Linked DNA regions of Lytechinus pictus. The protein of the gene in region 1 interacts with the protein of each later gene in a pairwise test. Links are inferred from orthologs where the notes say so. Each region holds a gene or a part of one and is shown on either strand. Other genes may lie near its edges.

The links.
Region 2: the proteins of actin-related protein 10-like (region 1) and transcription factor BTF3 homolog 4-like interact in a two-hybrid assay, tested with the Drosophila melanogaster proteins (2 studies listed by BioGRID). The link is inferred for Lytechinus pictus from reciprocal best matches to the Drosophila melanogaster genes Arp10 and bic.

The regions. Positions count from the first base shown.
Region 1 is NC_087251.1:11,805,386-11,823,181, reverse strand, and holds the start of actin-related protein 10-like, read left to right. Parts: upstream 1-10,534; coding exon 10,535-10,611; intron 10,612-17,796. Other genes in the region: ciliated left-right organizer metallopeptidase-like, read right to left, coding at 2,046-2,120, 2,642-2,793, 3,956-4,034, 4,812-4,934, 5,310-5,459, 5,746-5,797, 6,558-6,642, 7,294-7,461 and 1 more.
Region 2 is NC_087255.1:22,429,595-22,446,437, reverse strand, and holds the start of transcription factor BTF3 homolog 4-like, read right to left. Parts: upstream 9,195-16,843; 5' UTR 8,662-9,194; intron 5,703-8,661; 5' UTR 5,649-5,702; coding exon 5,481-5,648; intron 4,395-5,480; coding exon 4,248-4,394; intron 2,192-4,247; coding exon 2,080-2,191; intron 1,179-2,079; coding exon 1,135-1,178; 3' UTR 1-1,134. Other genes in the region: histone-binding protein N1/N2-like, read left to right, coding at 12,893-12,969, 13,393-13,506, 14,184-14,401, 16,213-16,746.

The DNA.
Region 1 (17,796 bases):
GGACTACCCTACACAATACCCTAGCCAAAGATAAGGACCTGCGCCGCTGGAGCTTTCGGCGGCAGAAACCTTAGCCCACCCTATAGGCCATAGGCGGTTAATTGCAGGGATGGCGCCACCAATGGGTGGAGGCAGAATTTTATCTTTAGTCTATATCTACATCTAAGTTACTAGTCTTAATCGTAAAAGTACTAATATATAGATGGAAATATCCCATCAGAGAGGTAAGTGTCCCTGGTTCGGGGAGAAAGACTGGAAAGTCAAACTCTCTTATTTTTAAATTTTTAGTGAGAATTCTTAGTATGACTACGCCTCACATACCTCTAGTCCCATCCCCTACCTTTCGCTGTATGGTGAATGGTCGGGGATAAGGAGTGCATACTAACTGATCATGCTCTGTGGACAACTCTACATTTATTTTTACAAAGAATTCTACTTTTTCTTCATTTTCAAGAAAAATAAAAGTTCTTTTGGATTATTGTATCAGTATGACATGGCTCTTGGTCATCTTTAAGGACTGAGCACTCTGATGCCTGTGTTGCAATCTCCTCTTATGAGGAAAGGGTATAAATGCCCTGTCCTTGAAATATGGTAAATAGGGGTGTTTCAAGGTAACATTTTGTCCTTGTTTTGCGTGAAAATAGGGGGGTAAATTTCACAAAATGTCCTTGAAATTGACCGCAATAGGGGGTTACTTGCATTTGTGGTAACGGTCATACGCGTCCCCCTCTGTGGGTGAGTGACCCCACTGTGCCTTTTAGCATATGATTCCATTTATACAGTCCAAACTCTCTTATCCAGACATGTTGGGACCAGCAGCAATCTTGATAATTAAGAGATTTATCCGGATCTGGAAGACCCAATGTTAAATACATGCAGCTGCCTCCATATGGTAGCTACACGTAATCTATTGTAGTGGGCGTACACAGACAGTATTCACTGCAGTGTCAGTGCAAATTATAGGCATTTTTACGAAAATGAAATCAATTGGTTAATACCCAAACTCTTGGATAATTTACCTGCTGAAATGATCGAGGTATACATCGAGCATACCTCAAAAGAGAATGACTTGATGAAACTAAGTTTTAAAATTGGATCATCGCGGCGAGCATCGCAGCTTCGCAAAGTCAGCCATTGTTATGACTGTAGGCTCAAACATGATAGATGGCGCTGTCCGTATCGAGGCCTAGCGCTAGCTAGTGACACATGTGTTGTTTTTTTCATGAAAAAAAAGAGAACATGATTAAATGGTTGTGCTGTGCCCTGATTTCCTGGAAAATTATCCTTTCTAATTTCTTTTGCTGATTTGGGTAAGATATTTTCATAAAATATAGGGTGTTTGTAGGTAGACCATCTTGGAAAATGTATGTAATGAAAGTGAGTTTGCTTAGGAATTTTGAGTTTAGATTGAAATCTCATTTCCCCAAGGCCACGTACTAGATTGAAAAAAAAAAGAAATCTCTGCAAGTGTGCGTCGGGATAATAGAGAGATCCAGATAAGGGGAGGCTAGATAAGGGGAGGCCGGATAAGAGAGGTCGGGCTGTATCTGATTAATCCTTGGAATCATTTTATTTCAAATACTTATTCTGTAAAATATCATGTTAGATGGAAACACAAGGTTATACTTCCTGGCGATATAATACAGAATAATAAACAAAATTTTGGGCCATTAAATATAAATTCTAGTTGTGGTAATTAAAGCTATGAAAATGAATTTAAACATAATCCAACAAAATGACAACCAAAGTATTTGTATGAACCCAATGATTATGCAAGAAATGAGTTAAGCATGGCTGTGTATCATTTAGAGGGAACCATTTCTAACAAAAATAATACAACATGTTCTAACTTGTGCTGTGTTGCAAATTTTCAGCATATTCTGGATTCACTCTGTATTCCATTATTTCCCAATGTCTGGTTAGCTAAACTAAATGATGTCAGAACTTAAATCATCCATATCTACATCCATATCTTTCAAAGCCTTTCATTTACTGAGTATGGCTTCAAGATATCAATAATGAAGAAATGATATGTGAGTTTATACCTGTAGGATTGCAGGAGCCATGACCGATCCATACATGTATCTTGTTTCCCAGTGAGATGAGAGACCTTCTCCACCCTGCAAATAAGAGAAAAATTAACTGCATCACAACGTACAGGGATACAAATAAAAGTTTCAATGCTCATGAATAAAGTCCAAAATACACTGCATCAGGGTAATTGGATTTTAAATTTGATTGAGGGACGGGGGGGGGGGGGGGGGGGGTGATCAACATTTTAAAAACATGAAAGGTACGTTTTAATTTTATAAATAAGGGTATTGCGTAGTTACATGACCAAAACATCTTTTCTATACTCTTGGTTTTTTTTCTTTTCCTTCATGTGTGTGTTGGTTCCCCTGCAATCACTTGAAAATTTATTGAGGGACAATTGCTTCCTGTGGTTGAATCATGTAATTTCTGTTTTCTTAAAACAGTAGCATCTGCCATAAGAGCCCACTGCATTGCAGCAACATAATAGAAAAGATAGGTTTGGGATGTGTATCTCAGAAGTGTGAAGTCTTTTAGAAAAGACACTCATCAAATATTTCCCAAATTTTCAAAGGAAGAACTCATTGTACATAAGTCATTATTTTCTTACCAAATTTTCAAGAGGAACACCTCTTTCTTCCTCTTCAAAGCATCCAAAATGAGCCTGAGATGCAGCCACAACTGCTGGGGTGTGAAGTCTTGACTGTCCCATAGCATCTACTCTCACTACATCATCCCTGGTCTCACACTGTAGTTCACCTTCTACAGAAAACAAACAACATAATGCAAATGGATATTAACAAAACAAAATATTTCTTCAACTAGTGCTCATCAATAAGTATTCATACACCTCACCTTATAAAGAAAAACTATGTCAGTTATATTTCAAATTATTGTAGGATGCTTATTTTGTCAATTTCTTATGTTTATTTCCTTTAAATTGTGCTTTCTTCAGCTGTTTTACATTTCTGTTCAGTCGAGACTTGAGTTCATTTGCATTTCTTTTCTGCACTGCCCTTGCAGTCTGAACTAAGGTTGAGTTAAATGATATTCAGTTGCCATTCATCCTTCTCCACATTGAATTCCATTCTTCTGATTCTCTTTTGTCATCTTCATTCCTTTTCTATTCAGGTGTTCCACTCATTACATTCCTCACCTGACTCCTTAGTTTCTATTCCCATATAATCACCCAGACATCTTCATCATCTTCATCTCCTCATTGGTTTATCTTATGAATTGAGTTCTTACATTTTAGTTTGATCCTTCCATTCTCTTTCGTTTTGTTGGTTGTTATTTCTAATTTAAATATTTTTGTAAATTATACTATGATTCTGAGTTGAGCTGGGGCAAATTAGCCCACATATTAAATTAGAGCACAACCAGACTTCTTCGGTTTCTGTTCAATTGATTTGCATCCTCTACAGTTTCACTTATTTTCCCTTTGGCTGATTGATTTCTGTTTGCTGCTGTGAACTTATATCATTTCTACCCCTGACTACACTTATAATTTTACACCTTACAACTAGTGGCAGCGGTGGGATGAGAACCCACCCCATCAAAACACAGTACATTATTGTTTTATTTCCACCCCCCCCCCCCCCTCTCTCTTTCATTTCATATCAATCATCTGATAATTGTGTTTATTTATAAGCTAAAAATATTTATCTTTTCTCATTTTTTAATCCTCATAAAAGATCCAGGTGTACATTATGTGATGTACACTTTCAACATCAGTTATGGAAATTCAGTGAAGACCATCAACTCTCCATGCTCTGCCCCACCCCATCCCCTTAAAAATGAATCAATAAGATGACAAGAAAGCAGCAGTTTCAAACAATATGTGGGGATGTGCCTGTATACAATTTTTTTACAGACGGTCTCTAAGTTGCATATAGCTAATTTACTAAGAGTAAATGTAACTTACCAAATACACTGCATTCTTGAAACTGGTCAAAAAGACTTGTAGAAAATCCAAGGACATGAAATACCTCATGCAAGGCAAGCTGAATTGGACAGAAATGCAAGCCCATTTGGAAATTTTATTAATTTGAGGTAATTGAAATTATTAATTAGGGTATAACCCATTTATCCATAATCAAACATACCACATATAACAATACTTCAGCACTTCACAAATGATTTACATTTAACTGAAAGACTATTTATTAAAGAAACTACTAATGCACTTCAAAGGATGCCATGAACACTGTTCATTATACGCTCTAACTTAAAAAAATGGAGAAAATCAGTAGAAAGTCAAAACAGGCATCACTATCATGTGAGATGTTTTACGAAGTCATTTGTTCAAGCAATCAACATTATGTCTGTGACATCACACTTCCATTAAAGTGCCATTTAGATATTTCCTCAAAGCTATACCAGAGGTATATTCTAATGTTGCTATCCAAATTGTTAATTGCCATTACATGAATGTGTTTAAATGGAGTAAATTTGTACAAACTTGTGCAATCTAAGGCTCATCTACATACTACATGTAACTATTAAGTCAACTTTTCAATTGAATTAGAAATAGGGAGCATAGCAAGACCTTTGCAATGAATTGAAATATATTTTAGGCAAAAAAATTAATCTAAAGTCTATCGATTGATTATATGTTGGCTTCTTACAGCACAAATTACATATTGATTAACTATAACGGTAATTAAAACTGATTGATCAATTGTAAATCTGCATTAGATATTAACTTTCATCATTATTTGCAATCCATAACAAACACCTTCTTGCAACACTCCTAATGAAAATCAATTTGTATGACTTACCAGGGTAAACTTATCTTGATCATATTCTCCACTCAGTAGAGGGTTGGGACAAAAATTGATCACTCCAGCAATAGGTCTGAGAAACTGATCCTGCTTGCAGTAGGAGGCATACGCAAACACATCCTATCAATAAAATCAAGGGTAAAAAAAAACATTATCAAAATATTTCTCCACTGTTAAAAAATTAAAAATGAGCCTCATTGATACAATATTCCTTCTTGCTTCCCCCTTTAATCAAGCTGGGAAATTATTTATTGCATTTAATTATGCCATCATACCAATCAGATGAACCTTTTCAGTGAATTACTGAATGCATTGTTTATGCATCTGTTACATTTATTGACATTTGAAAGTCAGTATTGCTTCATTTAAAATTATATCTATTGAAATATCATAATATTCATTTAAGTCTAATAAAGTGAGAGTACATTTATCATGGATATATAGTACGGAAAGTGTCCTAGAAACAGTTCATAAGATGCCTGAACAATGACTCACCCCTGAATCACAACGCTCAGTATGCTCAGCCTTAACATAGATCACGATATCAGAATTAGGAATGCCGGATCCTTCCTCATAATGGGTGACTGAAGGCTCTGGGTTAACAGCATCCCATGTCCACAGACCACCTAGATGATCAGCAGGAATCTGTCAACAAATAAACAATAAACATGTAAATGTCAATAAAACTGAACTGTGGTTCTTAAATACAGTAAAGCAGTATTAATGCAATATTTTGTATTTACTACAGGCCTGGTTAATTGATTAACAATGTTCAAATATTTACAGAAATTTAATCTATGCACTGGATGCATATATGAACAAAATAGAAAATCATTTTCACTTTCAACTTAAGGATCGATCCTAAATTTTATTTGATTGATCATCATATACATGTATGTCAAAGAATTCTTTTGGAGAGCAAAATCCTTACCTCAAAATTATCTAGACACTGCTCTCTATAATTTGGTGAAATTTCTGCACACCTGAAATAATACAAATTTACAATAATATGAGTTGATTATTATAAATAGAATACCATTAAGAAAAGCATCATTACAGGCCTTAAATTTCAACATTTTCAAAGATAAAGCAACTTTTCTAAAATGTATATTTCGATATTACACCACAAAACAAATGTAAAAATTGGAAATGGGCACATAAATATCCCAGGCCTTTGATTAAACTAACATGGGCCTATTACATAAAAAAGAGTTGCTTACTTTGCCATTGAGTTGTAGCTTTCATAGAATCTTTAATTTTGATTGGCTGTTGAGCAGTGTTGCCATGGTAGTTACCATTAATTTGCAAATTTACCATAAAATTAACTATTATGCAACAGCCAACAGGACTCATGTCACAAGCCTCACCCTCCCTTCCACATGCCCCCCCCCCACACACACAAACAAATGGTATCTAACAATTACTTCTCTATGCGGGTTAAAATATAAGCAATCATCACCAATATGACCAAAAGTAAAAATCAAAACTTCAAGTAGTACACTTTCTGCCTTATTACCTTGAGGTAACATTCTAGAAACATATCATTTATATTACTATATATACAAATATAAAATATATGCCTACTGACTGATCCTACAGTACATATTTCTGGAAAAATAAACAGATGTTCACTCAATGGCACATTCATCACGATACATGTAGTTCCTAATGAAACTCCTCTAGATGATGATACTTTGTATTGAGTCAAATGTCATCTACATTTTTTTAGAGCAAGGGACTTACTTTCCATCATTCTGTCCACCATTATATGTAGTTCTACAAGCTGTTTCAGATCTATCAATTACCATTGGGCCTTCAACAGGAAAAACTGGTTAGATACAATGAATAAATACAAATCAAGAATAGAAAACATATCTTTAAGAATTCAGACACAGTATAAGAGTGAACAATTGATATGATTTTATTTGTGCCTTATCAATAATTTTGTCACCTGAAAGTTCAAATTCATATGCACTGCAGAAGTGTACGAATTCTATTTTCAGAGGTTATATTATATCAAGTGTAGTTTTAACTTCTTCATCAATATTTTTTTAAATGTCATCCCTATTTGTTACATAAAGTTTAACTTTAAAAAATGCTGAATAAAAATCACCATAAATAGCAACCACTTAGAAATGTGTATGCATAGTACTGATTAAGCAAAATCAAAATAAGCCAAAGTATCTGCCCAAAATAAGAACTTATCAAATATTAAGAAAAAGCAGAATTATGTTGGCTCACGAGGGGAGTTTCAATACACTACTGATTCATAAATTAGTAAATTTCTTGGTTATGTTCATTCCTGGATTCCTTTACCCTAGAAAAGTAAATGCACTTCAATTCTTCAAATCCAGTTGGTACACATTTCTTGTTTCTACAGCTCACGAGCATCTGACAATCTTTGAGGTTGTCAAGAACCAACTTTTTTTAAACAATATGCATAAATTTGAATGGTGGCATTGTTTCTCTATCCCCATACCTGACAGCAGTTTTTGAATAACAGATGTTGCACCAGCCATGATGGTCTCAAGCTTCTCGACCTGCACTGAGTCTTTAAGATGTTCCACATTCTGAACAAAAGTCTTCACTCTGATAGGCTGGTAGATATCTCCTTCCAATGACCTTTTTGATTTTGCACTTACACCAACTGTTTAGAAAATTTACAGAAGGTAAGGACAGGTAAAGACTAAAGAAGTTACTTTTAACATTGGTTTATATTCTGAGGTTAATTTTTCTATTACTCAAGTTATTTGGGTTAAGTGTGTGGAGTCACTGAACTTAAAAAAAACCCTAATAATTAATTTCTGATAATTGATATAGGCCTAACTGGGAGTTGTGGCATGCGCCTGTAATCCAAGCTGTGTGGAAGTTACAAATTGATGCAGAGGTTTGAGCCCTGGTCACGTCTTTCGGAGGGTGACGTTAAAGGTCGGTCCCAGACGTAAATAATCTGATTGATACACGTCTGACAAAACTCAAATACACACACACACACACACTAAAATGTATGTTTGTACATGTACAGGTACAAAACAACAAAAAACACACACTATGGATAGTCCTCATAGACTCTCAACAGATCATGTCCAACATTAATTTTGAATGATTCACAGAACATTATAATTAACTTTCAACCAGAATAAAACCATGAAAGTGTTTGACCTAGCACAATAACTTTTCACTTTGTCACACCTCTACTAACAGTAGAGGCACACGGCCAATATTGGAGACTGTCTCCAATGTGGGAGATTATCTCCAATATCAGAGACTTTTGTAAAGAATTTGGGTATCCAATTTCAGAGACAGTCTCCAGTTTTGGAGTCCAATTTCCTTTGTTTACATTTGCTGCAAAAGGATTACCTTGGCGGCAAATAAAAATGTGATTTGCAGGCTTCTTTGATTCAGACCCTCAGTGTTTCCTAGAATGTGTTCTCTTTCTTCCCCCTGTGCACCACAGTAATGACACCAAAACCCAGCTCCACACACTTATTTTATATTTCATTCGCAACCTTCACACAACCTGCCGAAAACTCCTCAGCAACTTCACCAGCTCTAACAACTCTTAGGAAGTGTCTACATTTTTCAACTGTTACCAGCGATCTCCGACCTTAACGGAGGAAGGATACAAGAGAGAGATAAGCAGATTCCTCATGAAAAATTACCCCTTTTCACCGTCTACTTTAAATATTCACCGTCAACTTTTGAATTGATAAGGATTTTTGTTGTCAATCACACACAAAACAAATGGGCTTCTGACCTCAGTGAGACAAAATTTTAGGTGGAAAAAATCATGCTTTTGTTGGTGTTGTTTCTTTTGTCCTTTTGCAAAGCAAGTCTCCAATGTGGGAGATTGTCTCCCCTATTGGAGAGAGTCTCCCATATTGGCCGTGCGCCTCTACTGACTAAGAACACTTACATGTAGTACCTACACAATTTATATTTGCATCATTTGGCATGAAAAATAAAGAAGTACAAATGTCCTCCTTTACCTGAAAAAATGAAAAATTCTTCCTCATGATTTCACAAGATATTTATAAATAAAAAAGCATAGATAATTGTGCCTGCACTCTCTAGCATTGTCCAATAATTATTATTTATGAAAAATTGCTTTTAACCAAATCTTAAACTTTTTCTGACATCCAGAATGAAAATACTATGTTCACTTGTTCAGATATTAATAAGTAACTGGGTCTGGGTAGAGATAGACCTAGATCTAGACCTTGATCTGGAAGATTCTAGATAGGCCTATATAATTTTTGACCAAAAATCAATTCTAAAGACTAAACTGCATTGTGCAGTTGTGAGTAGTGAGGCCATTACATCAATTGTTTTTTTCACCAATTTGAGTCAGATTCTTTAATGAATATACATGTAAAGTAACTATGTCTATTGGACAATAGACTAGTGCAGATGTCAAGTTTGTGGTCATTTGAATTCTTTTACAACAGGGCACTGCGCTATACTCACCAGGAACCCGATAGTTTAGAAGAGTTGTCTCAATGTTTTGATGCTTTTGAACTTCATCAAATATACAACGGCTTGAATTTGGAGCAGATGATGGAGATGCAGCAAGAATTTTCATGCATATTTGTAGAAAAACTAAACTTAAAGTTATCAATATCAGAGAGAGTCTAGTTAATTTTGTACTTGAGTTCTTGCAAGTCTTAATCTTTTTCAATTTCATATCCATTGTCCCTGTGCACTGTGTTTCCTAGCTGACTATCCTGTCTTGAATTCAGCGTCACCCCAAATTTCAGCCTTCTCACTCAGTCTCAGTCAGTGACAATGTAGGATAATCGACTGGCTTGACATGACAAGGATATCTTCTTCTTGTCTATTACCACTGAACTTTACCATCGGATCGCGACTGTCGGGTTGCAGGCATAGATACGTCGGAGGTCGAGTCCATGTCCGCGTCCACCGAAAGCGCACCGATATTTATGGTAACGGTCTCTCGATGAACTCGGGTCGGGAATCTCCGGCGGTAAGCTGCACTTGGTCTTGGTATCGCTTCACTCTCTCTGGTACATTTTCGGAGGTAAGTAGGATGGGGGGCCGGGGTCGGGTGTCCGGACACTTTATATTTTTGAAGCCTTCTTTTTTGTCTTTGGATTACACTAAAAATATGAATTCAATACTTATTAATCATCTTCTCTTTTGTTCTTTATAATATTTCCTAACATTTTGTACTAAAAATTGATGAAACTTCGCTTGTAATTTTTTCCAAATGACTTTCTAAGTCTAAAAATGACTTTCTATGTCTAAAATTGATCGTCCGGACACACAACCTGTCCGGACACACAACAACTGGGTATACGGTATGTAGTCTTAATAGCAAACCGAGATTGCTGAGTGAAATTTGGAATCAATAATCGTACAGTTTTTATTGAAATACTACATACCTAAATTTATATTGATAAATATCTTACTATAAACATAACATTATTTTTCGAAACAATTTTGGAAGTAAAACCATTAAAATATTTTTCTTTTTATTCATATCGATCAGATATGGCTTTAAAAAAAGACTATTTAATACCATGCGCGATTACGTTTTGTACAACAGCTTGTGTTGAAGCTAGGACGTTGAAGGATCATGCGTACGTGTCGATCGGTACGTGACTTTACACTCGTACGTCGTACTCGTACTCGTGTGTGATTAAAAATCTCACGTATTTTACCTCGGACTGCTGCACTGTCGGGAAACTTTCATTGAAAAAATGCCACTTTTTGAGGGTCTCAGCGTTGGGGTAGAGAAGACAGCTGCTATCTTTGACATAGGTGCTGCATATACAAAGTGAGATTTTGATATATTTTGTATTCTGATGTTAAGAAACTTGAATATATGTGTTTTGGGAGTGGGACTGCATTGACTCTGTCTCAGTCAGACTCAGACTGACGATTGACGGTGATCGGAACAACCGCCGCGCCGGGCTATGCCGCGACGGACGGCTCGCGTCGATGCCTCATCGACGCGGTCGACTCTAGCTCTCGCCGATAAATGGGCGTGTCTATTGCCTTGGGAATAAACTGAGTTAAGCCTAGATCTAGTTCTAAGCTTGTAACCGATTCCATTCGATTTCACCACAATCGGCAATCACTTGCCGATCTTCGATCATGCCCCTTGGCTTGAAGGAAAAAATCGAAAATAAAAAATCGGCGTAGATCTGGTTACAGTGCGTGATCGCTCAGAACATATTTCAAGATTGTTTTTGAGGTGCTAGCTATTTACAGGTCGCATTATTCAGGGAGAAAGTCGCGGTATTATCTATGGCAATGTTTAAGGGGATAGATATCTTCTCTTCCAACTCATGGTGATAGCGGATGCCGCCGTGAACTTTGAAAGGTCGTATTACCGACGGAGCTCACTGCGTTACTCTCTTACATCGTTTATGATTATATACATTTTATTTTCAACCTCGTGGTGATAGCGGATGCCGCCGTGAACTTTGAAAGGTCGTATTACCGACGGAGCTCACTGCGCTACTCTCTTACCCCCTTTATAATGATATAAATCTTCTCTTCAACCTCGTGGTGATAGCGGACACCGCCATTAACTTTTAAAGACTGTACTATTGACGGAGCTTATTGCGTTGCTCTCTTACATCGTTTATGATGATATTCATTTTATTTTCAACCTCGTGGTGATAGCGGAAGCCGCCGTGAACTTTGAAAGGTCGTATTACCGACGGAGCTCACTACGCTACTCTCTTACATCGTTTATAATGATATAAATCTTCTCTTCAACCTCGTGGTGATAGCGGACCCCGCCAGAAACTTTTAAAGACTGTACTATTGACGGAGCTTATTGCGTTACTCTCTTACATCATTTATGATGATATTCATTTTATTTTCAACCTCGTGGTGATAGCGGAAGCCGCCGTGAACTTTGTAAGGTCGTATTACCGACGGAGCTCACTGCGCTACTCTCTTACATCGTTTATAATGATATAAATCTTCTCTTCAACCTCGTGGTGATAGCGGACCCCGCCAGAAACTTTTAAAGACTGTACTATTGACGGAGCTTATTGCGTTACTCTCTTACATCGTTTATGATGATATACATTTTATTTTCAACCTCGTGGTGATAGCGGATGCCGCCGTGAACTTTGAAAGGTCGTACTATTGACGGAGCTCATTGCGTTACTCTCTTACATCGTTTATGATGATTTACATTTTATTTTCAACCTCGTGGTGATAGCGGACCCCGCCGTGAACTTTTAAAGATCGTACTATTGACGGAGCTTATTGCGTTGCTCTCTTACATCGTTTATGATGATATTCATTTTATTTTCAACCTCGTGGTGATAGCGGAAGCCGCCGTGAACTTTGAAAGGTCGTATTACCGACGGAGCTCACTGCGCTACTCTCTTACATCGTTTATAATGATATAAATCTTCTCTTCAACCTCGTGGTGATAGCGGACCCCGCCAGAAACTTTTAAAGACTGTACTATTGACGGAGCTTATTGCGTTACTCTCTTACATCATTTATGATGATATTCATTTTATTTTCAACCTCGTGGTGATAGCGGATGCCGCCGTGAACTTTGAAAGGTCGTATTACCGACGGAGCTCACTGCGCTACTCTCTTACATCGTTTATAATGATATAAATCTTCTCTTCAACCTCGTGGTGATAGCGGACCCCGCCAGAAACTTTTAAAGACTGTACTATTGACGGAGCTTATTGCGTTACTCTCTTACATCGTTTATGATGATATACATTTTATTTTCAACCTCGTGGTGATAGCGGATGCCGCCGTGAACTTTGAAAGGTCGTACTATTGACGGAGCTCATTGCGTTACTCTCTTACATCGTTTATGATGATTTACATTTTATTTTCAACCTCGTGGTGATAGCGGACCCCGCCGTGAACTTTTAAAGATCGTGCTACTGACGGAGCTTATTGCGTTACTCTCTTACATCGTTTATGATGATATACATTTTATTTTCAACCTCGTGGTGATAGCGGATGCCGCCGTGAACTTTGAAAGGTCGTACTATTGACGGAGCTCATTGCGTTACTCTCTTACATCGTTTATGATGATTTACATTTTATTTTCAACCTCGTGGTGATAGCGGACCCCGCCGTGAACTTTGAAAGGTCGTACTATTGACGGAGCTCATTGCGTTACTCTCTTACATCGTTTATGATGATTTACATTTTATTTTCAACCTCGTGGTGATAGCGGACCCCGCCGTGAACTTTTAAAGATCGTGCTACTGACGGAGCTTATTGCGTTACTCTCTTACATCGTTTATGATGATATTCATTTTATTTTCAACCTCGTGGTGATAGCGGAAGCCGCCGTGAACTTTGAAAGGTCGTATTACCGACGGAGCTCACTGCGCTACTCTCTTACATCGTTTATAATGATATAAATCTTCTCTTCAACCTCGTGGTGATAGCGGACCCCGCCAGAAACTTTTAAAGACTGTACTATTGACGGAGCTTATTGCGTTACTCTCTTACATCGTTTATGATGATATACATTTTATTTTCAACCTCGTGGTGATAGCGGATGCCGCCGTGAACTTTGAAAGGTCGTACTATTGACGGAGCTCATTGCGTTACTCTCTTACATCGTTTATGATGATTTACATTTTATTTTCAACCTCGTGGTGATAGCGGACCCCGCCGTGAACGTTTAAAGATCGTGCTACTGACGGAGCTTATTGCGTTACTCTCTTACATCGTTTATGATGATATACATTTTATTTTCAACCTCGTGGTGATAGCGGATGCCGCCGTGAACTTTGAAAGGTCGTATTACCGACGGAGCTCATTTCGTTACTCTCTTACATCGTTTATGATGATTTACATTTTATTTTCAACCTCGTGGTGATAGCGGACCCCGCCGTGAACTTTGAAAGGTCGTACTATTGACGGAGCTCATTGCGTTACTCTCTTACATCGTTTATGATGATTTACATTTTATTTTCAACCTCGTGGTGATGGCGGACCCCGCCGTGAACTTTTAAAGATCGTGCTACTGACGGAGCTTATTGCGTTACTCTCTTACAACGTTTATGATGATATTCATTTTATTTTCAACCTCGTGGTGATAGCGGACCCCGCCGTGAACTTTGAAAGGTCGTACTATTGACGGAGCTCATTGCGTTACTCTCTTACATCGTTTATGATGATTTACATTTTATTTTCAACCTCGTGGTGATAGCGGACCCCGCCGTGAACTTTTAAAGATCGTGCTACTGACGGAGCTTATTGCGTTACTCTTACATCGTTTATGATGATATTCATTTTATTTTCAACCTCGTGGTGATAGCGGAAGCCGCCGTGAACTTTGAAAGGTCGTATTACCGACGGAGCTCACTGCGCTACTCTCTTACCCCCTTTATGATGATAGACATCTTCTCTTCAACCTCGTGGTGATAGCGGACCCCGCCGTGAACTTCAAATTGATTTGAAAACGCTAGCTACCCAAAACATTTTAATAACATATTTCAAATCATCGTGCGTGCTTGCGTCGTCTACTTCATTTTAATTGCACTTGCGACTTTAAGATGATGCGTCGTAAGAGATCATTCCAATAATTCTAAATCGCTAGCACCTAAAAATACTTCTAAAAGATGTCCCGCCGATCGTTCATTAACCTGTGATCTATGAGAAATATTTTCATTTTATTTTCCTTTGCGCCTTTGCTCGGAAGATGCGTCTTTCGTTTATCTTTCTAATAAAAATCACTCGGTTTATTTTAAAGCAATAACACCTCAAAACCCCTGGCTTTAAAACATGTTCCAAACGATCGCGCATGTTGGCGACTTCCATTCCAATGCATTCGTCTTTGTGACTTTGTCAGGAAGATGCGCGCGACCGCGAACAACATTTTGATGTATTCCTTTGTTTTTAAACATCGCCGATTCGATTTTCGATTCGATTTCGATTTTAGAAGCTTAACTGCCGATCCGATTTTCGATCTGATTTTTGATCCGATTTACAACATTATCTAGTTCTATGTCAAATGAAGTTGGAGACAGTGTTCTCCTTCTTCTTCTGGAAACAGTATTACCAGTAGAGGCGCACGGCCAATATTGGAGACTGTCTCCAATGTGGGAGATTATCTCCAATATCAGAGACTTTTGTAAAGAATTTGGGTATCCAATTTCAGAGACAGTCTCCAGTTTTGGATACCAATTTCCTTTGTTTACATTTGCTGCAAAAGGATTACCTTGGCGGCAAATAAAAATGTGATTAGCAGATTCCTCATGAAAAATTACCCCTTTTCACCGTCTACTTTAAAAATTCACCATCTACTTTTGTTTTGATAAGGATTTTTGTTGTCAATCACACACAAAACAAATGGGCTTCTGACCTCAGTGAGACAAAATTTTGGGTGGAAAAAATCATGCTTTTGTTGGTGTTGTTTCTTTTGTCCTTTTGCAAAGCAAGTCTCCAATGTGGGAGATTGTCTCCCCTATTGGAGAGAGTCTCCCATATTGGCCGTGCGCCTCTACTGATTACAGTCCACCGTCTGCACGTCTGGTGACTGGTGTATACTATTATTACCGGTACTATTGTCGTATGGTGAGACTACCAGTAGGTATGTGACAAAAAAAATGAAAATCATCAAATATGAATAAATTTGGTATCACTTGAAAGCTCTTAAAAAGACCTTTAAAATGATACCAAGAACTTTAATTTTCATCAAGAAATTATAATGTTATTCCAGTTTAAGTCGCACATATTCATCCAAATTTGTGGTCATTGTCTTAATGTAAAGTCAATGGAGTACAGCACCGATTTTTGTGACCATTTTGTGACCATTTTGAACCCAAGTCTTCAACAGGCTCTAACTTCTTTGTTTTTTAGCCCTATGAAGTAATTTAGGTATCAATGAAAAGGTGAGAGAAGGCTCAATTGATGTGCATCAATTCATCTTGTAATCTTTCTTATTCTGTTTAAAATAATTTCTTCTAATTAATTCTAATTAATTATGCAAACAGAAAATCACAATTACTCGCCTCTTTATTTTGCCAAATGAAGGTGATTATGATAGATAATTAATATAATTTAGTTGGCATCAAAACATCATCATGTAGATAATTTCCTAATAAATTTGTCTAAAGTATTGTTTTTGTAATTTCTAATGTATTTCATTGTTTTTCTGATATAAATTACAAGCTCTTTTTCAACTTAGTATTGTAATTTTGTATGTACGGGGGTCCTTTTTTACATATAAAAAATTTCTTTTGTACTTTGTATGACCAAATAAAAATATGTGTGTTTTTTTCTGATGTATTTGATTGTTTCACCAATTCCTTATGTATTCTATTGTTTCAACAATTTGTTATAATATGTAGCTTTTGATTTGAGAGACAATGGACATGTGATTACATTTTTTTAGAAGGAATGAGCAGCTGAGTGTAAAATATGTATGTAGAATTGTATGCAATTTATTTCAAGTATCAAGAAGGACGAAAATGAAGTTTTAATATATTCTATCAGTTGTCAATTTCTTAGATTTGTATACATACATTGTATTACAAAGGCCCTGTTTGAGCTCTCTTTTTAAAGAAAAATAAATTCAAATTATTAGTCGAAGCCAAAAGAAAAGGAAAAGAGTGGTCTATTTCTTTTAAAACAAAACAAAAAACAACCAGTAAAAATATATAACAAAGCTTTAAACAACAACAAAACAGACATCAAAGCTCCAAACAAGCACTAAAAACAAGAGAAACAAAAGTGACACAAAAACTTGTACCAATCCCATCCCCATTTTCCAATTCAAAACACAACCCCCACCTGCACCCCTAAAAAAAGAAAAGTGAATAAAAAAATAAATAGTACAATTAATAATAAAGAAAACATAAATACAGGAGTTAGACCCATCTGGAAATGAAATATCCTTTCCTCTGAGTTTTCATGTATTTTCTCATAAGAGTGAAAAAATTACAACAACAAAAAATAAACAACATCTAGTTCGTGCATTTTAATAAAAAAATCACATTTAAGATATTCTCCTTTCAAAAGCAAATCCAGTCTCCAAATATTGAAATATGACCAAAAAAAAATATTTAAAAAATATATAAAAAAAGAAACTAAAAAATAAACATAATTTTTGCATTTTAATTAAAAAGTCAACATTTATGATATTCCCCTTTCAAAAGCAAATCCAGTCTCAAAATAATGAAACATGATTGAAAAGTTTCAAAATATTTTTTTTTCTACAAAAGAAAAAAAAAAACACTATAGATTTTGCATTTTAATTTAATAAGTCAACATTAATATTCCACTTCCAAAATAATCCAGTTTCCAAATGATAAAACATGATTGAACAATCAAAGTAAAACATGTTCATGTTGACTCTATAACCTTAGGAGGAAAGAATGTTTTTGTGACAAAATGTATATATTTAAATCAATATTAAATCAATTAAATCAATATCAGAATAACAATCTACGGTATAATGACAGACGTTTTCAGAAAAAGGCACAATATTATCAAGTGAACAATTTAGATCCAGTTCAATCCAGCATGAACGACTCACTATCGACCACTCCCGTCACCAAGCCCTCCGCATCGGGTACCGGTAGCTTGACTGCCGAAAGACCGTCGGGAGCCCACCGCATCGGGCAGCTCGACTGCTGAGAGACCGGCTGTGACAAGGGTAGCTCGCTTCGCTTATATCTGGACTGCTCCACGATAGAATCTTTTGATTTGACATTTTTTGTAGATTTGAATATATTCTAAAACAATTTAGATACATAATTGGATCGTAGTTCTACTTACCATAAAAAAATTTCGATCATTTGCGCATCCAAAAATTTGATGAACTTTCAAGCTCCGATATCCACACTTCACAGGCGAGTATCCACATTGAAACTTATATGTACAGAAAGAGCACATTTTCAACTGTCTGTATCAAGGCACGAGATTGCATCAACTATGTGCGCATGTGCATGAAACCCCATTTTCGATGAGCCGCCCAGACAGAGGCGATGCCACTTGCAGCAAAACC
Region 2 (16,843 bases), on another chromosome or scaffold:
ATATTGCAAATTATATTCCATATAAAAAATGATGAAACCAATGTTGTGAAGACATGACCTGAAAGCTATAAATTACACATTGTTGTATCATATTGTACGTCTAAGTTAAGCTCAGAATTATCATTAGACATGTACTTCAGAGTGCCTCACAAAGTATATCAAGTTTGATAACCGGAAATCGTAACTGGTTTCAAGTGGTCATGATCGGTTCCGATTTGCTACCCTAGAAAATATCAACTTGATAAGGGTACCTATCAGAATCAGTTGCAACTAGTTGAAACCGGTTAAGACATACAATAATCAAATTTTAAACTCACTACTGCATACATCTTAGTCGAGTGGCTGGTTACTAACGATTCCATTCACTCATTATATTCAACAGTTCAGGTATGTGTTTTGGTTCGACAAACAGCATGAATTTTACTTTGCAACACTCGTGATATGCAAAGTGCCTTATCACTACAAACTGCATGAAACAAGTGAATGAAATCAGTTTTAACCCAAGGAATTCACCAAGATGTACAAGCAAATAGCATCAAGTTGAAGAAATTAATTGGTTGTCTCATGATAGATCAAACGTTTGCCAGTATTTTTTTAAACATCTTTTTTCACTCTGTGAGAAAACCGATTAATTTCTTTAACTTCATCCATTGCCACGATGAAATTCTTCCACATCAAGAAAATAGCAATTAATTTTTTTTGTGTGTGTTAATATACAGAAATTTGTTGATACCCCATGACCTCTCTGGGAGAAATCATGAGCTTGAAAGATTATAAAACATGAAATCTTATTGTGAGGATTCACAAATGAACTTATTCATATAAAAAAGTAAAATATACTGTGTATACGATATAAAGAGTTCTACAAAGGTATTCTCCAAGTAGGATGAGGTACTTCTCCCCTCCGAACGTAAAGGGGTCAACAAGAAGAGCTTAGAATATAACTCCTCTTGGTAAGCGGGATGAAAACAAATGCCAGTTCTTTCGCTGACACAAGTCCAAGCTGGCCTAAGCTGAGGGCAGCAGCAGGAAAAGTCCGGTAATAGATCAAAATTCTTGAGAATGTCTCCACACTTGGCTTGTCTTGACACAAAGCAGGTCTCCAGAGTCGTCCGTCTTTCAGAGGCCCCTCTTCTAAGATTCCTGCTTGGACGGCGCATCAAAGTCTCCAACCAATTCTAAGAACAGAAGAAAAATAGGAAAACCAAATTAAATATCTTGTACAAGGTTATACCTACACAAAAATTCTGATTAAAAAATGCAGATAATATAAACGGATAACAATTTTCGTAAAATTTCATTAAGACCATGAGCTTGCAGGAGAAAAATAACTAGTTCTCAGGGCATATATATAACTGCATTCTTCTTCCTCACATTATTTTTCTGCTACAGTACAAACATAAATATTGTTAAAACTTTTTTTATTTCAATGAGAATCATACCCAACACAAATAAAAATGTTTTTGATCTACTTTAGAACAAAAACAAGATTTCAAAACACAAGATCAGACTTGCAAATATTCAAAATGTCTGCTACACAGGCCAGAGTGTGTAGTGTGTTATATGTATAAAAGACAGAGATACTGTACAACACCAAATTAGTTCGTTTTACGTGAGCAAATGGGTGGTTGACTGTCCAACACTTGTACCGTTGCACACGTACCGTCCATAATGTACCGTTGTATGGTCAAGAACAAGGTGACAGTACTATAAAATTTGGGATTCAATGCATTGTACTTAATAAATGCAGGTACAATACATTACGTTTTACTGGCTAAATGCGCATTGCTGCTGCAGATCAGATGCCAGATTTTGCTTTTTACTTTCAATAACCCCTTCTTATTTTCATAGATTTACATTGGAAAATTTATTGTTCCTATTTTCCCTAACTTCCTAGGCTTTGTACAATGCGAATAGCGAATATTCTTATTCGTGCAATGGTGCGACATTTCGCATACGGTGAAAGAATAGACACTTAATTCAACTTGGTTACACCTCGTTGAATAGAGCATCTTTCGTTCACCTTACGCGAAATCTTGAACCATCGCACTCATGCCTATTTGCTTTTTGTATGTTTACCTGGTACATCCTCTTCTTCTTCATCAATAGTATCAGGTTTATCTGCCTTGCCACCTGTCTCTTCAATAGGGATACCATCACCAGGCTTTCCAAAACTTGAACTATCCATGCCCTGCAGAGGTGGAAAAATTAGAATCAGTCACAGCGGTATTGAAATATTAGAGATTACTGTAAATCTACTTCAAATTTGAGAATATCAGTAGTAGTGACTTGTAAGTTACCATGGATAACCTACTTTTTGAAACAGGGTCTGTGTTGGGTTCATGACATTTGCTCCGGCGACAATTGCCCCGATGGAAAATCTGCATGTCAAGCCAAACATAAAACCAAACCTCAACAAGTGGAATGCCTCTGGCCGTCTCACCTGCATCACGCGATTCAATATAGCAGCAGTGCTGATTTTGAAAACTACTATAACTCGCACAAGATGTTCAGTGATACTTGGTTACTCTTATTTCCACGTTTTATGAACTAGACCAATACACTTATAGAGATATGATGGCAATTAAAAAAATACCCCCAACGTGGCCAAAGTTCTTTGACCTTACATGACCTTTGACCTTGATCATGTGACCTGAAACTCGCACAGGATGTTCAGTGATACTTGATTACTATTATGTCCAAGTTTTATGAACTAGACCAACACACTTTCAAATTTATGGCTGTAATTCAACAAATACCCCAATTTGGCCAAAGTTCATTGACCCTAAATGACCTTTGACCTTGATCATGTGACCTGAAACTTGCACAGGATGTTCAGTAATACTTGATTACTATTATGTCCAAGTTTCATGAATCAGATCCATAAACTTTCAAAGTTATGATGGTAATTCAACAGATACCCCCAATTCGGCCAAAGTTCATTGACCCTAAATGACCTTTGACCTTAGTCATGTGACGTGAAACTCATGCAGGATGTTCAGTGATACTTGATTAACCTTATGTATAAGTTTCATGAACTAGGTCCATATATTTTCTAAGTTATGATGACATTTCAAAAACTTAACCTTAGGTTAAGATTTTGATGTTGATTCCCCCAACATGGTCTAAGTTCATTGACCCTAAATGACCTTTGACCTTAGTCATGTGACATGAAACTCAGGCAGGATGTTCAGTAATACTTGATTAACCTTATGGCCAAGTTTCATGAACTAGGTCCATATACTTTCTAAGTTATGCTGTCATTTCAAAAACTTAACCTCAGGTTAAGATTTGGTGTTGACGCCGCCGTCGCCGCCGCCGTCGGAAAAGCGGCGCCTATAGTCTCACTCTGCTATGCAGGTGAGACAAAAACTAAATAAACCCTAATCCTTTTCTTTATATTATTCCAAACCAAAAACTATATTACATTCCTAACTGTACCCCTATGTCCTCTAAGATATCAAGACCAGGGCAAATGTTGCAGGAGCAAATGTCGTGTGACCCTATGTTGACTTAATCAATTGGGCTTACCAATTGATTCATGATACTGACCAATCACATTTCAGAATTTTGGTAGCTCATTACAATGACTTGTAAGTTACCAGTGATAGCAAGATTCGTGAAATAGGAACAACGTTGACAAGTTGCACTTACCAATTAATTTCATGATCATAGTGACAGTGACCAACGAAATTTCAGAATTTCATAACACGGGTTGTGTCATTGATAGAAAGGTTTGTGAAACAGGGGTGACGCTGACAAGTTGGGCTTACCAACTGATTCATGATACTACATGACCAATCAAATTTCAGTAGTTCATAACAAGGACTTCCAAGTTATCATCGATAGCAAGCTTTGAGATACAGGAACCATATCGACAAGAAGAGGTTTGACTTGCCAATTGATTTGGGATACTGACGGTGACCAATCAAATTTCAGAATTTCAAAAGTGGGTAAATTGCCACTAATAATGTGATTTGACATCCATATTGAATTCAAAGAGATTGGAATTATCAGATTTCATAATTCCAGCAGCTAATAACAATGACTTGTAAGTTGCTATTGATAAAATTTAATTCGAGGACCATGGAAGAGATTGGGCTTCGACATTGATAATTGATTTATGGTGCTGACGGTCACCAATCAAAAATTTCATAATTTCAGTAGCTTATAACAATAACTTGCAAGTTGCTACTGATAATGAAATTGATTTGAGGTGCATGCTGACTGGAAGAGATTGGACTTACCAATTGGTTCATGATACTAGGAAGCATATCTGTAAGCTGCTTGTTCTCTGCATGCCCACTGATTGCAAACGTGTTGGCTGCTAATGATGCCTGTACTTTAGGGTTGTTGAAATGAATCACAGTTCCGTCATCTTTGATCATATTAACCTGTTGGGGAAGATTTGAAAAAGAGCATCTGGAGGAATAATAGAACATTGTGGCCAGTTTAAGGTGTGCTTTATTATCCATCAACTATCTTTCCAAATGGTATCACGGAGGCTTTCACTCAAACCTCCAGAGCTCCACTTAAGTAGTCGTCTGGAGCTTCCGTCAAGGTTAAATGATGTGAATTATATGTGTAGTGATTTTTTTTCTCCCAAATGTCTTTTCTTAAAGGACAAGTCCACCCCAACAAACAATTGATTTGAATAAAAAGAGAAAAATTCAACAAGCATAACACTGAAAATTTCATCAAAATCGGATGTAAAATAAGAAAGTTATGACATTTTAAATTTTCGCTTCATTTCACAAAACAGTTATATGCACATCTTGGTCGGTATGCAAATGAGGGAGCTGATGACATCACTCACTCACTATTTCTTTTGTATTCTATTATATGAAATATGAAATATTTTGATTTTCTCGTCATTGTCATGTGAAATGAAGTTTCATTCCTCACTGAACACGTGGAATTCCATTATTTTAACATTTTGTGCTTCAGGCAAGGAGGTCCTAATCGTCAAATTCGTAAAAATTGAAATATTGTATCATTCAAACAATAAAAAACAAAAGAAATAGTGAGTGAGTGACATCATCGACTCTCTCATTTAGATGTAACTGGCTCGTTCATATAACTATTTTGTTAAAAATAAGCGAAACTTTGAAATGTCATAACTTTCTTATTTTACATCCGATTTTGATGAAATTTTTAGCATTGTGCTTGTCTGATTTTTCTCTATTGATTCAAATCAACATTTTTCTGAGGTGGACTTGACCTTTAATGAGAATTTGCAATTTTATCTTGTGAATAGGCTAGCTCCCTCACGGTGTAATGTTTTCAAATTTTTTTTTGGCAAAGTCTTTTTAAACATTACCCTTCATAGGGTAATTTTCAAAATTCTTTAATAGCGGCTTTTCACACTCCTGTGTGCTGAAATAAAGAAAAACAAAAATAATTTTTCATGTAGGCCTAAAACTTTCCTTTTTGGTCAAAGGGGAAGAATATTACTTGAAATTAAATGAACATATACTTACCTCTTCAATACCAGGAATATTATTTACAGCTAATTTCTTTAATGATCCTTGTAATTTCTTGTCGTCTGTGGTTGTGGATTTGTGGATGACTTTCCTTTTTCTCCTGGCGGTGCCTTTGCCACCTATTCTGACTTCCTTTTGGATCTTTGACAACTTATCAGCATTCATCTTGACTAAATGTGGTGAAGAACTGAAGCTCCTAAATTTGCCAACTCCTTGTATCTAATATGCAGAGTATGGAAAGTAAAAAACGTGATTTCAGTAATGTGCGTATGCTTGTAGTCAATGTTCATTGACCCTAATGACCTTGGTCATGTGCTAAAAACTCACACTAGTATAACAGCGATATTCAGGGACTCGATTTTAAGGCACGCGAGAGCGATCGCGAGCCTTAATCCATTTTAGGTAACGCGCCTCGCGATCGCTGAGCTGCGCGGAAATGCCTTAGGTCGCCCTCGAAATCACCCAAAATCATGCTTTCGGGGGCGACATAAAATCTGAATGTCGCCACCGAAATTATTGCCGAGTGATAACAACTCAACGGCCCACTAGTGCCATATGCTCGAGCTCCGCTTACCATTTAAAAATCCAAAATCCACACTCAAAATCATGAATAAGCCTTGAAAATAGCAAGCGCAGTTTCAAATTCCAAAGTTGCATCTTTTTTATTCTGTACCACCTATTTCCATACACATGGTACCAGGTATGGAAAAAAAAAATCAACGGTCGGGAAACAGTTGCATGTATCCCTGGTCCATTATGACTACCACCATGTGCAATTTCGAATGCACATGTTTCCCCTACAGATATCACAATTCGAATTACACAGAAAATAAATCCCTGGTCTAGTAACCTCGCATTGGTGAGTTGTCATTCGGCTTTGCTTTTCAAAACAGCCTATTAAAGGAGAATGAAACCCTTGAAAACAGCTGAATCCATATCAAAGAGAAAAATCAAAGAAACATTTTGTTGAAAGTTTGAGGAAGATTGAATGAGTAATAAGAAAGTTATGAGCATTTGAATATTGAGATCACTAATGCCATGTAGATCCTCCCATTGGCAATGCGACCAAGATCTGTGATGTCACACACGTACAACTCCCTCATTGCTTTAGTACTTATTTCACTTATATTCTCACTTTTATAGAATCTATCACAAGGTGAGGTGTTCTCTTTATGAGAGGACAAGTACAGAGGTTTCACAACATTATATCATTGATGAATCGTTTTTCATATGATTAGAATGAGCAAAAAGAGATGTTTTGGGGTATATTTTCAGTGTCCAAAAGGGGAGAGTTGTTCATCTGTGATATCATAGATCTTGGTTGCGTTGCCAATGGGAGGATCTCCATAGCATTAGTGATCTTGACATTCAAATGCTCATAACTCTTCTATTGTTAGTCCTATTTTACTCAAACTTTTGTTGATCTTATTCTTTGATTTTTCTGCTTTCACAAAAGCTAACTTGCTCCAAGAGTTTCATTCTCCTTTAACATCCAAAATAAGTTACCTTATTTATTAATTATAACTAAAAAATCATGTTTTCTTTTTCTAGGGGATGAGGTAAATATCAGACAATAAATCATCAAACAAAGCTCCATCTATTTTACAAGGCCAGCGGCAGGCTCACGCACGCACGCATTGACCCTTGTACTAGCTAGCCAGTCTGAGCTCTGTCTCTCTAGCTCTGGGGGACAATTTGCTCAGTAAAGGCCTCAATGATGGTGATTTTCTGTTTCAGACAGAGTTTACATTTCAGGTATATTATTCAAAACTGCCAATAAAGTTTAATGATTTCTTCATTGTCATGTATATTTAAGTTCTTAATGAATACATTCTCACCAAATTTAGACTCCCCCATAGAGAAATGCAATTTTCATGGAGATCTGCGTTTTCAAAGAACTTCACGAAAAGTTAGGGTATGTGTAGCCAGGCGGCTTCTTGAGAGTAAAAATCATTTACTAACGTAGCCGTAGGCTTACTCTCAATGAAGCCAGGGAGTCCTTCCTATTCACCTACACGAAGGACCCCAAAACCAGTAGAGGCGCACTGCCAATATTGGAGACTATCTCCAATGTGGGAGATTATCTCCAATATCAGAGACTTTTGTAAAGAATTTTGGTATCCAATTTAGAGACAGTCTCCAGTTTTAGAGTCCAATTTCCTTTGTTTACATTTGCTGCAAAAGGATTACCTTGGCGGCAAATAAAAATGTGGTAAGCAGATTCCTCATGAAAAATTACCCCTTTTCACTGTCTACTTTTGTTTTTGATAAGGATTTTTGTTGTCAATCACACACAAAACAAATGGGCTTCTGACCTCAGTGAGACAAAATTTTGGGTAGAAAAAATCATGCTTTTGTTGGTGTTGTTTCTTTTGTCCTTTTGCAAAGCAAGTCTCCAAGTCCAATGTGGGAGATCGTCTCCCATATTGGCCGTGCGACTCTACTGAAAACCTGAAACGGACGCGAGCGTCGCGTAACGTTGGGGAAGTACAATAAGAAACAAGATGGCGGCGTAAACATCGGGCAAGTCTCTTCCATCTTTTCACAATATTTTTTCACTTTTTTGATGAATTCTGGTTTAAAAATAACGAGAGCGTAGTCGTAGAAATGTCGGAAATGAAGTTTTATCCCAGACGCGTGCGTCGGGTAACGTTGGCGAAGAACAATAGAAAACAAGAAAGTAGCATTCAATTTAAATAAGAGCCCCCGAAATTTGACAAAAAATTTAAAATGGAGCCCTCAAAAATTTTTTTTTTCCCTTTCTTAGTACGAGATAGATCTACATGACTGTCTAGAGTGGGCCCACGCTCCCGAGTCATGCCATTCCATGGCGATATGCGCTGCATACCTGTGCACTACATGACGTGCATACATCAAACACTGCCTGCTCTGGGCCGGGGTGATCGGCAGGGTCATTATGCGACGATGCGCTCACAAGCCCTGCAACTGCGCTGTTCTGTAAAACTTCAAGATCATAAATGCAAACTCGCCCAAGTCACATTGCATTGGCATATTACAATTACAAACCGAAAAGTTTCTACTTTCTACAAATGACAAATTAAAATCTTGGCAGGGTATAGATTGAGCTTTAAAAGCATATACAGAATAAGTTTAAATTTCATCATAAAAGTACCTACAAATATTGATAATAAGTCATTCAAATAAGATTATAACTCACCGGTATATAGACCACGAGGCTGCATACACCAATATAAAATGGAAGAATGTGACGTCATCAGACTTTAACTATTTCTTCAATTGAGTTTTACAGTTTCGTCAATCATTCATTATTATTTATGGCAAAGGGTTTTAAATCATTAAAAAATTATTTACAATTTTAATTAATATATCAAACAATATTTTTGTATTTTTAATTGCAAATGTAATAAAAATTGTTCATACAAATAAACTTTTTGAAAAAGCCTACATGAATATTAATGCAATGAATATTCATGTTGTAATCAGAATCTGAGATATTCCATCCCGGAAGTAGATCTTGTAGAAGATGATATATATACGAAATATAAAGCCAATTCAAAATCTATTTTCTTTAAAAATATATTGCTTTGCGATATGATTATTATTGAAATTACTTAGATAGTATGTAGCATATAGCAGTCCAGCTGCTTTTCGAAAAATATGGTATTCATCTGTGACCTTAAAACTGTAAGTACAATCAATGGAACAGCTGGCGCGCCACCAATACAAAGTAACGCGCGAAATCTTTCCTGCAGCTGATTCAAAGATCCTTATCGTAAAAAAAAAATCGCCTATTACGTGATTCGCCCGATCGGTAATTGCAGAATCGAGCCTTAAAACGCTTTAAAAAAACCGTTTGTTCCAGATATGAAAGCTTTCTTCGAATTTTCTGTTCTTCTACAGTTTATTTGGCATTTCTTCTTTAAAAAAAAAGTAATACTGAAAATGTCCCCATGTAAGTTCGGCAAAGACCTGAGGCAGCACCTGAGAATAGAGTCTTGTTAGAGTGACGGGCTATATTTGAGGGGAAGTTCACTTTGACAAAAATTTTATATTCTACAAATAGCAGAAAAACAATAAATAAATATTGCCGAAGGTTTGAGAAAAATATCAAAGAATAAAAAAGGTTATTGGAATTTTAGATTTGATTTCTTGTGACGCAATAATGCGAGGCTTGCGAGCAGATTTCATATTGGGTGAAAGCATATCAATGAAATGTCATTGTCTCAGAAAATCGAAAATAAAAAAAAACACGGTTTTCTACGGCTTGGTATATCAATAGACAAATCATTTCACATCCGTTCCTAAAAAATGCACGAACCATCAAAAAATTGAAATCTATTCATTTTATATACGGGGCATCTGCTCGACAAATCCAAAACTATATAACTGAATAATAAATGAATTAGTTTCCTGGAACCTTCACCAATATTTTTTATTGTTTGTTCTGCCGGCTATTTTACAACAACCTATATAGCTAGTTTCTTCAGGGTGTACTTCGAACTTTAATGTGTGACGTCATAATGTGCGAGCATCAAGTTTCAATGGAACTTGAGATGAATACAAATATTTTTCTCATAGAAAGGAAAAAATGTTGTGATGATACATTTACCACTATGAATAAAATCCCTTCTTTTTTAAATGACTTTTAAGTGGGCGAATTTAAAGTATGTATCAAAGATAAAAAAATTCAAAAATCACAACTCCGTCCGCGTATTCTTTGATAATGTTCACCCTTCATCCCCTTCACCAATATTTTTCTGATTTTATAATAAAACCAATCCCCCGGACAAATCCCCTTCAGAAGATATTTACTTCCCATATAGCCCGGGGGGGGCCACTTACATTGACGAGTGGATACCATGCGCGACCAAGAAAACACGTAAAAAGGATGTCTTTTTCAAGATAGGGCACGTTACGTACGTAACGTGATTAGGGTGTCAAAAACACAAAAATAATGAAAAAAGGGTATCTATTTCGCTAGGAAAGCTATCGTGTTTAGGGTCACATTTGCGGGGATGATCAAACAAAATTAAAATGTTGTATAAAGGATGTCCTTTTTGCCCCAACACTACGTGTTTAGAGTCCCGATTTGCGCGAGGTGAGGAAGGTGGGGCCATACTAAACCAAATGGTGTGTAAATTAGATAAAACCGACGACCGCCGGACCCGTGACACAACAATAAAATATCGCTGTATACTTGTTTAGGGGTTCATTTCAGGGAATACTTGCCAAGAGTATAGTTTTGTTTCCAATGCTTGTTAAGGGTAGGGTTTCAGACGCCAATATACTTGTTAAGGGGTGCATTTTCAGAACATGGAAAATACGTGTTTAGGGTGCTTTTCGAGACCCCGTGGTCGCGCATGGTATCCACTTGTCAATGGAAGTGGCCCCCCCGGGCATATAGCCTGGGCCAGGCAATGCATGTCAAATAGTTGGTTCGAAGGTCAAACAGACGGCTTAGAATAAAAAAGGTCTATATAAAGATCATGAGGCTAACGTGCGGCCCCTCAAATCTATAGACTTTGAGCAAGTTTCAAAAGGCCAAGATTTAAAATCTCTGATTCTGTATAGTTCTGAATAGATTCCCGGAATAGTTTAAATAAAAGTCAAAGTAAAGAAAGAGAGAGAAAAGAAGAGTGGTGAAAATCCATAAAGAATTATTTTAATTTGTGGTGTCACAGACGAGAAACCATTTAAATAAGGCCCCAACTACACTGAATTTCCTCATGATATTTGAAAGGGATACCGAAGGATCGCGGCCCATAGGCCTACCAAGTGGCGGACCGTGACCCGCGGAGGAGACAATGATTGGAGGGGCACTTGTTTGTGAACAATGCTGTGCCCCTCCAATGCTTTGTCTCCTCCGGGTCACGGTCCGCCACTGCCCCCCTTTTAATTCATTATTTTTTTTTATGTATAGGTATGTTGGCCCTAAAGGCGTCGTAGGGCTATCCTATAGGCCTATTTGTATATATCATCATTGAACACAGGAAAGTACTTGAGTATATACTGACAAGTAGGCCTACAGGTAAAATAGATGCTCAGTCATGAATAATATAGGCATACAATGTTTAATTTAACTTTTTTTTTACTGGGAGTACATCTGCTGTCCGATGCCAAAGCCATCACATTTCCTTTATAAGGTTAATTGTTTTGAGTTCATTATGCTTAGGTCAATCCGTGGTATAGTTTCATCTGGGTCTTCCAATAACATTATTTACATGATGTTAAAACGAAAGCTAGGCCACTAATGAATCATCCAACTTGATTATCTTTTTTATTCAAATTTTTTTTAATGGAATTTATACATGACATGCTATATAGATTTCGGGCCACTGGAGTCTCATTCTTCGACGGATTTTCATCGAATCTTCTGTGAAAGTCTTTCACCCATTTTTTCCCTTCTTCTTTTCTGCTTTTCATTCAAATCTACGTATCGTCGCGTCCGGGCATCGATCTCCCCACTAACTTAAAGGGTATATGGGCGTAAAGGGGCGTAAACGTCCCGATCCTGCGATTATTTTGATCACAAGCAAAATCTTACTTACACGTACCGGTAGGTACGAATTTCGTTCAACAGAGTTATCTGGGGGCGACTCCTTTGTTATTCCTGTAGACGATTCGAGCCCGTACATAAAACGTGCAAAACATTCATTGAAATTTTCAGGAGATCGAGTTTGTTCTATCGAAGACAATTCGTCATTCATTGTAGATCCAGGACAGACTCCCTCCTGAATCTGATATTCACATGTGTGATATCTTGGTCTTGCGACTGGGAGGGAATATTATTTTGACTTCATTGCATTGAAGTCGAAATATTAACGTTTAATTTTGTTGTTGACTTGGTCTTTGTGACGTTTTGTCGGCAAGAAACTACGCCGTGGCGTAGGCGGAGGCTAGGCTCGAGCGCCCGACTCCTAACTTAACTGTTCACGGATCCTTTCTCAGGCACGGCAGGAGTTTGGCAGTGTAGTGACAGTCAAACATATACACACTTCTAGGCCTCTGTCACTGACTCACATACACTCGCTCAGTATCAGAGAGAGCTGCATGCAGCTTATGCTTATTAATTCATGTAATTAGCCTTTTGCTTTGGACAGTGAGTGAGCTAGTAAGAGTAAAGTTAGACCTGTCATTGTCAAAGACAAAGTCAAAGCCTGATTCTGAAGAAAACAGAAGGGGTAACTGTAAGCTGGGGACATCTTTCTGCTTCTTCGAATGTATGACAGTATCGTCGGCAGGTGGTCATCTTGACAAACTCCAACTCGAGTCTTCAATTAAAGTTCAGAGTCGAGTCAACTGAGAAAACTTGTTCAAATCACCAGATCACTCTATCCCAATTAGGAAACGCTAAGCCTGGTTAAAGACGGTTCAGTGGGGAACATTTTTTCTTGAGCAGTCACACACAAAGTCTAGACTACACAAAAATGCTTGGGACGGAAGAAGACAAACCTGGATCAAGTTCTGCTGCTGAAATCGAAGAGGTGGAACAAGAAGATGCCGGGTGAGCTGAGCAGCATTTTTACTTTTCAAAATTGGCAATGGCATGCTTAAAAGTTGGAGTAATTTTATTAAAGATGACTTAAAGATTTTTAGCTGTCTCTTGCATTTATAAATCATCAACAGGTCAAGTTTGGCCTCGTAGTCAAGAAACTTTTATCATGTCTATAATTTTATTTAAAAATTAAATTCTAAAGGTCAAATAGAATGACTAATTATGACAAATCAGTAGGGTCTAATAAATTATTGAACATATACTAACCTCGCAATACATGTGAGTGACAAAATGATGAAGTAGCCAAATTGGACTTTGGTTTCTTGTCGTTTGTTTGGATTGATGCTTGGAGTGATATTTGATATTCAGATTTCATTTGTCAATTGAATTCTGTATGATGAGTGACCTATTACATTATTTTTCTCATTTCAGCCCTGAAGACGTTGATGCTGAAGCCTTAGAATTGATGGGCCAGGGGAAGAGGAATCTTGTGGTTGGTGACCCTCCAGCTGCTGTCCAGTGTTTCCAAGAAGCTTGTGAACTGCTGTACGATTTATCTTATTTCAGTAGATCCCCCCCCCCAAAAAAAAAAAATCAATTAAAAAAACATGGTTTATTTCTTATTTTATCTGAAAGATCATCATTATCTATTAAGCATATTAACATGAGACAAACTGACCTTTTTTGTCTGTCCAAAATTGTCACCTTCTTTCAGTTTTACATCTATAGATCTACATTTAATGATTTTTTTTTAGGAAACAAGTAATTTTTATTGATTGGTCATGTACATTATTCCAAGCCTTATAGCTGGTCTACTTAAAAAGAACAATTCCCTTGGATTGAGAAAATACTTTGATTACTGAATTCAAAGGTTGCAGAATGCACACAAATCAAAATATGAAGGAAAATATTCCTTTGAAATTCAAGAGTTGTGTTATTTTAGAGGTCTGTGATAGAATCCTAGTATTCAATTAATCTAATGATTTTAGTCTTTACTCCATTTCTTGCAGACCTACCCTTATTATTTTATACTAAATCAATTTGATTACATTAATTCTAACATTACAGAGTGAAAGTGTTATTCTTTTTAGTAGATAAATGTAACTACATTTATATCCCATTGTGTACTGAAACTGGGTGGTCCGTCATCGAATCTATGGAAAATGAAGATTTCAGAATCCATTAATTCAATCGTGTATATATCTTGCACATTTAAATTGCAGGTCATCTAAATATGGCGAGACTGCGGAGGAGTGTGGGGATGCGTACTATCAATATGGATGCTCCCTTCTTGAACTAGCGAGCATGGAGAATGGTGTACTTGGCAACGCTCTGCAGGGGGTCCCAGATGATTCAGCCGACTCGGCAGATTCCGACGAAGAAGGAGAAGGAAAGCAAAGTTGCACTGGAAGTAGGGTAGAAAGTGCAGACCAGCTAGAAGGTAAAATGGTTATTGGTATATCTTTATAGAGGATGGCTCAAGTTTATTTTTCATTGGAAATAAAGGACAGCTCATTTGCTATCTTGCATGTACATATATGGAGCATTAAAAATATTTTTAAAAGAAGCCCCGATTAATTCAATCTTTACAATTTAAATAGATAAAATGTTAGATAAAATCAACCCACTCTTTTGAAATAAAGTAATGGATAAATGCAACTGAAAGGAAAAGAGCAATGTGTAGAATTCACCCAAGATTAGATAGATTTGGATAAGTGTAGAATTAGCTGGAGGTGATAGATTACATTCCCTGGTATTTAGATGGTCAGTTTATCAATGGTCATTCACTGGGGATGATTGAATTCTACACTGTCTTGGATCATCCAATTTGAATAGGATGCCATTTGCTTTGTCTATTTAAAAGGAATCTAAAAGAATTTAAATTACAGTAATCTAAAGCGCTTATTGGGTGTGTCATTGACTTGTGAATTCAAGCTAAAGCTTCTTGAAACTATGAGCCATCTGCTTCTTTATTTAAACAATCAGTTGCTTCCATTTAGACTAGAAAATACTCTACTGAACAATAGGTTCAAACTAACAACATTTTTGCATACTTGGACAATTGTTCTCTACATCCAAAGAATTTGTCAAGTATCGTGACTAGTAAATTTATGCAAACTGGATTCTAAATAGTTCATTCATAGAAACAGCTTCATAGAAATGCCTCGTTACAAGGTACAATTACAAAGGATCTTTGTGAATTTTGATAGTCTAGTCTAGTGTACATCTACATTCAAACATTCTTTTGCTTGAATACAAGATTTTCTTGGTTTCTTTGAATGATGAGATCTGTAGTTCATGACCTTGATCTTTTCTTTGCTTGAAGTCATTCAAGCTTTTGTTAACATTCTTGCTTTCTCCTGGGCTTGTGAATTGATGAGTGCAGTTTCACTTTTAGGTGGTTAATACCTCAGTCACATTTGCTCTACGGCGGCCGTACGGCAAGTTGAAAACAGCCGTTTATCCTTTTTTTTGTACCAGCTACATATAGATAGTTTGAATAAAAATGAATAAAACTGCTGTTTTCGACTCGCTGTAAGGCCGCCGTAGGGGAAATGTGACCGAGGTATAAGCATGCAATTCTAGAATCTAACACTAATTTGTCTGATTTCACATCTTTGGGAGTGTTATGCTAAGATTTCTTTGAATGGAATGTACATGTAAGGCTTGCTGGAGAAGTTTGATGTTGAAGATTCAAATTTCTACCATGCATCCAGTACATTTTTTTTATAGATCGTGTATATCTCATTTACTGATCGCAAGCCAGAAATTTGTTTCTATCTAATAGAAATAATAACTGTTAGCTACATTAATGGAGTTATTGTATATTGCCATCTGTCTTCCGATGTTATTAATCATCTTAAGATATCTTTTATCTCGGAATTTGATATTGCCTCATGACTCTATCTGTACAGGTAGTGGCTTTTGGGGAATTTTCTACTTTCAGTTTCAGTACAGTATTAATGCAAGGGTATTTATGTCAATATGATAATTGATAAAAATAGTAATGAACCAGTCATCTTTCCCCTATTGAGAAACGGAAACAAACTCAAATCAGAAATGCATTTGTCAATTTGAGTACTTAGGCCTATAAGTTTTATGCTGAAGCTAAGCACCGAAACAATAGACTTCTAATCTTCTCTGCTAAATCCAAAATTTCTAGGGCAATTGTATTTTAGAAGGTATGATCATTAAGCACAATTCCAAAATAACTTTTCCATTGTCCAAACACTTAAATTATCTCTCCTTCAGCCAAAGAACGAGAAGAAGTGATACAGCAAGTTAAAGATGCCCTGGAGGCTAATATTGAAAGTGAAGAATCGGAGAAGGAAGATAAGGAAAAGGAAGGGGAGGGGGAAGAAGATGAAAAGATGGAAGAGGGTGGGGATAACAAGAAAGAAGAAGCTACAAAGGAGAAAGACAAAAAGAAAGAAGAGGAAGGGGAGAAGAAAGATCAAGAGAAGGTAGTTGAAGAAAAGGATGAAAAAGAAGAAAAGAAGGATGAAAAGAAAGAAGCTGCAAAGAAGGAGAAAGACGAGAAGAAAGAAGAAGAGAAGAAAGATCAAGAGAAGGTAGTTGGAGAAAAGAAGGATGACAAGAAAGATGTAGAAATGGAAGTTGAAGATCAAGATGCAAAGAAAAAAGAATTAAAGCAAAATAAAGAAAAGAAGGATAAAGAAAAATCTGACAAGATGGAGACTGAAAAGAAAGATGCTGAAAAAGTAGATAAGGATGATACTTCAATGGCAGAGAAGAAAGAAGATGAAGCCAAAAGTAAAACTAAAGGTATCAAAGTATTTTCATGAGTTTAAATAAGTGTCTGTGTCAAGTTATGTAATTCACCTCTAACATCAAAATAAATGCATTCTAAATCTTGAAATCT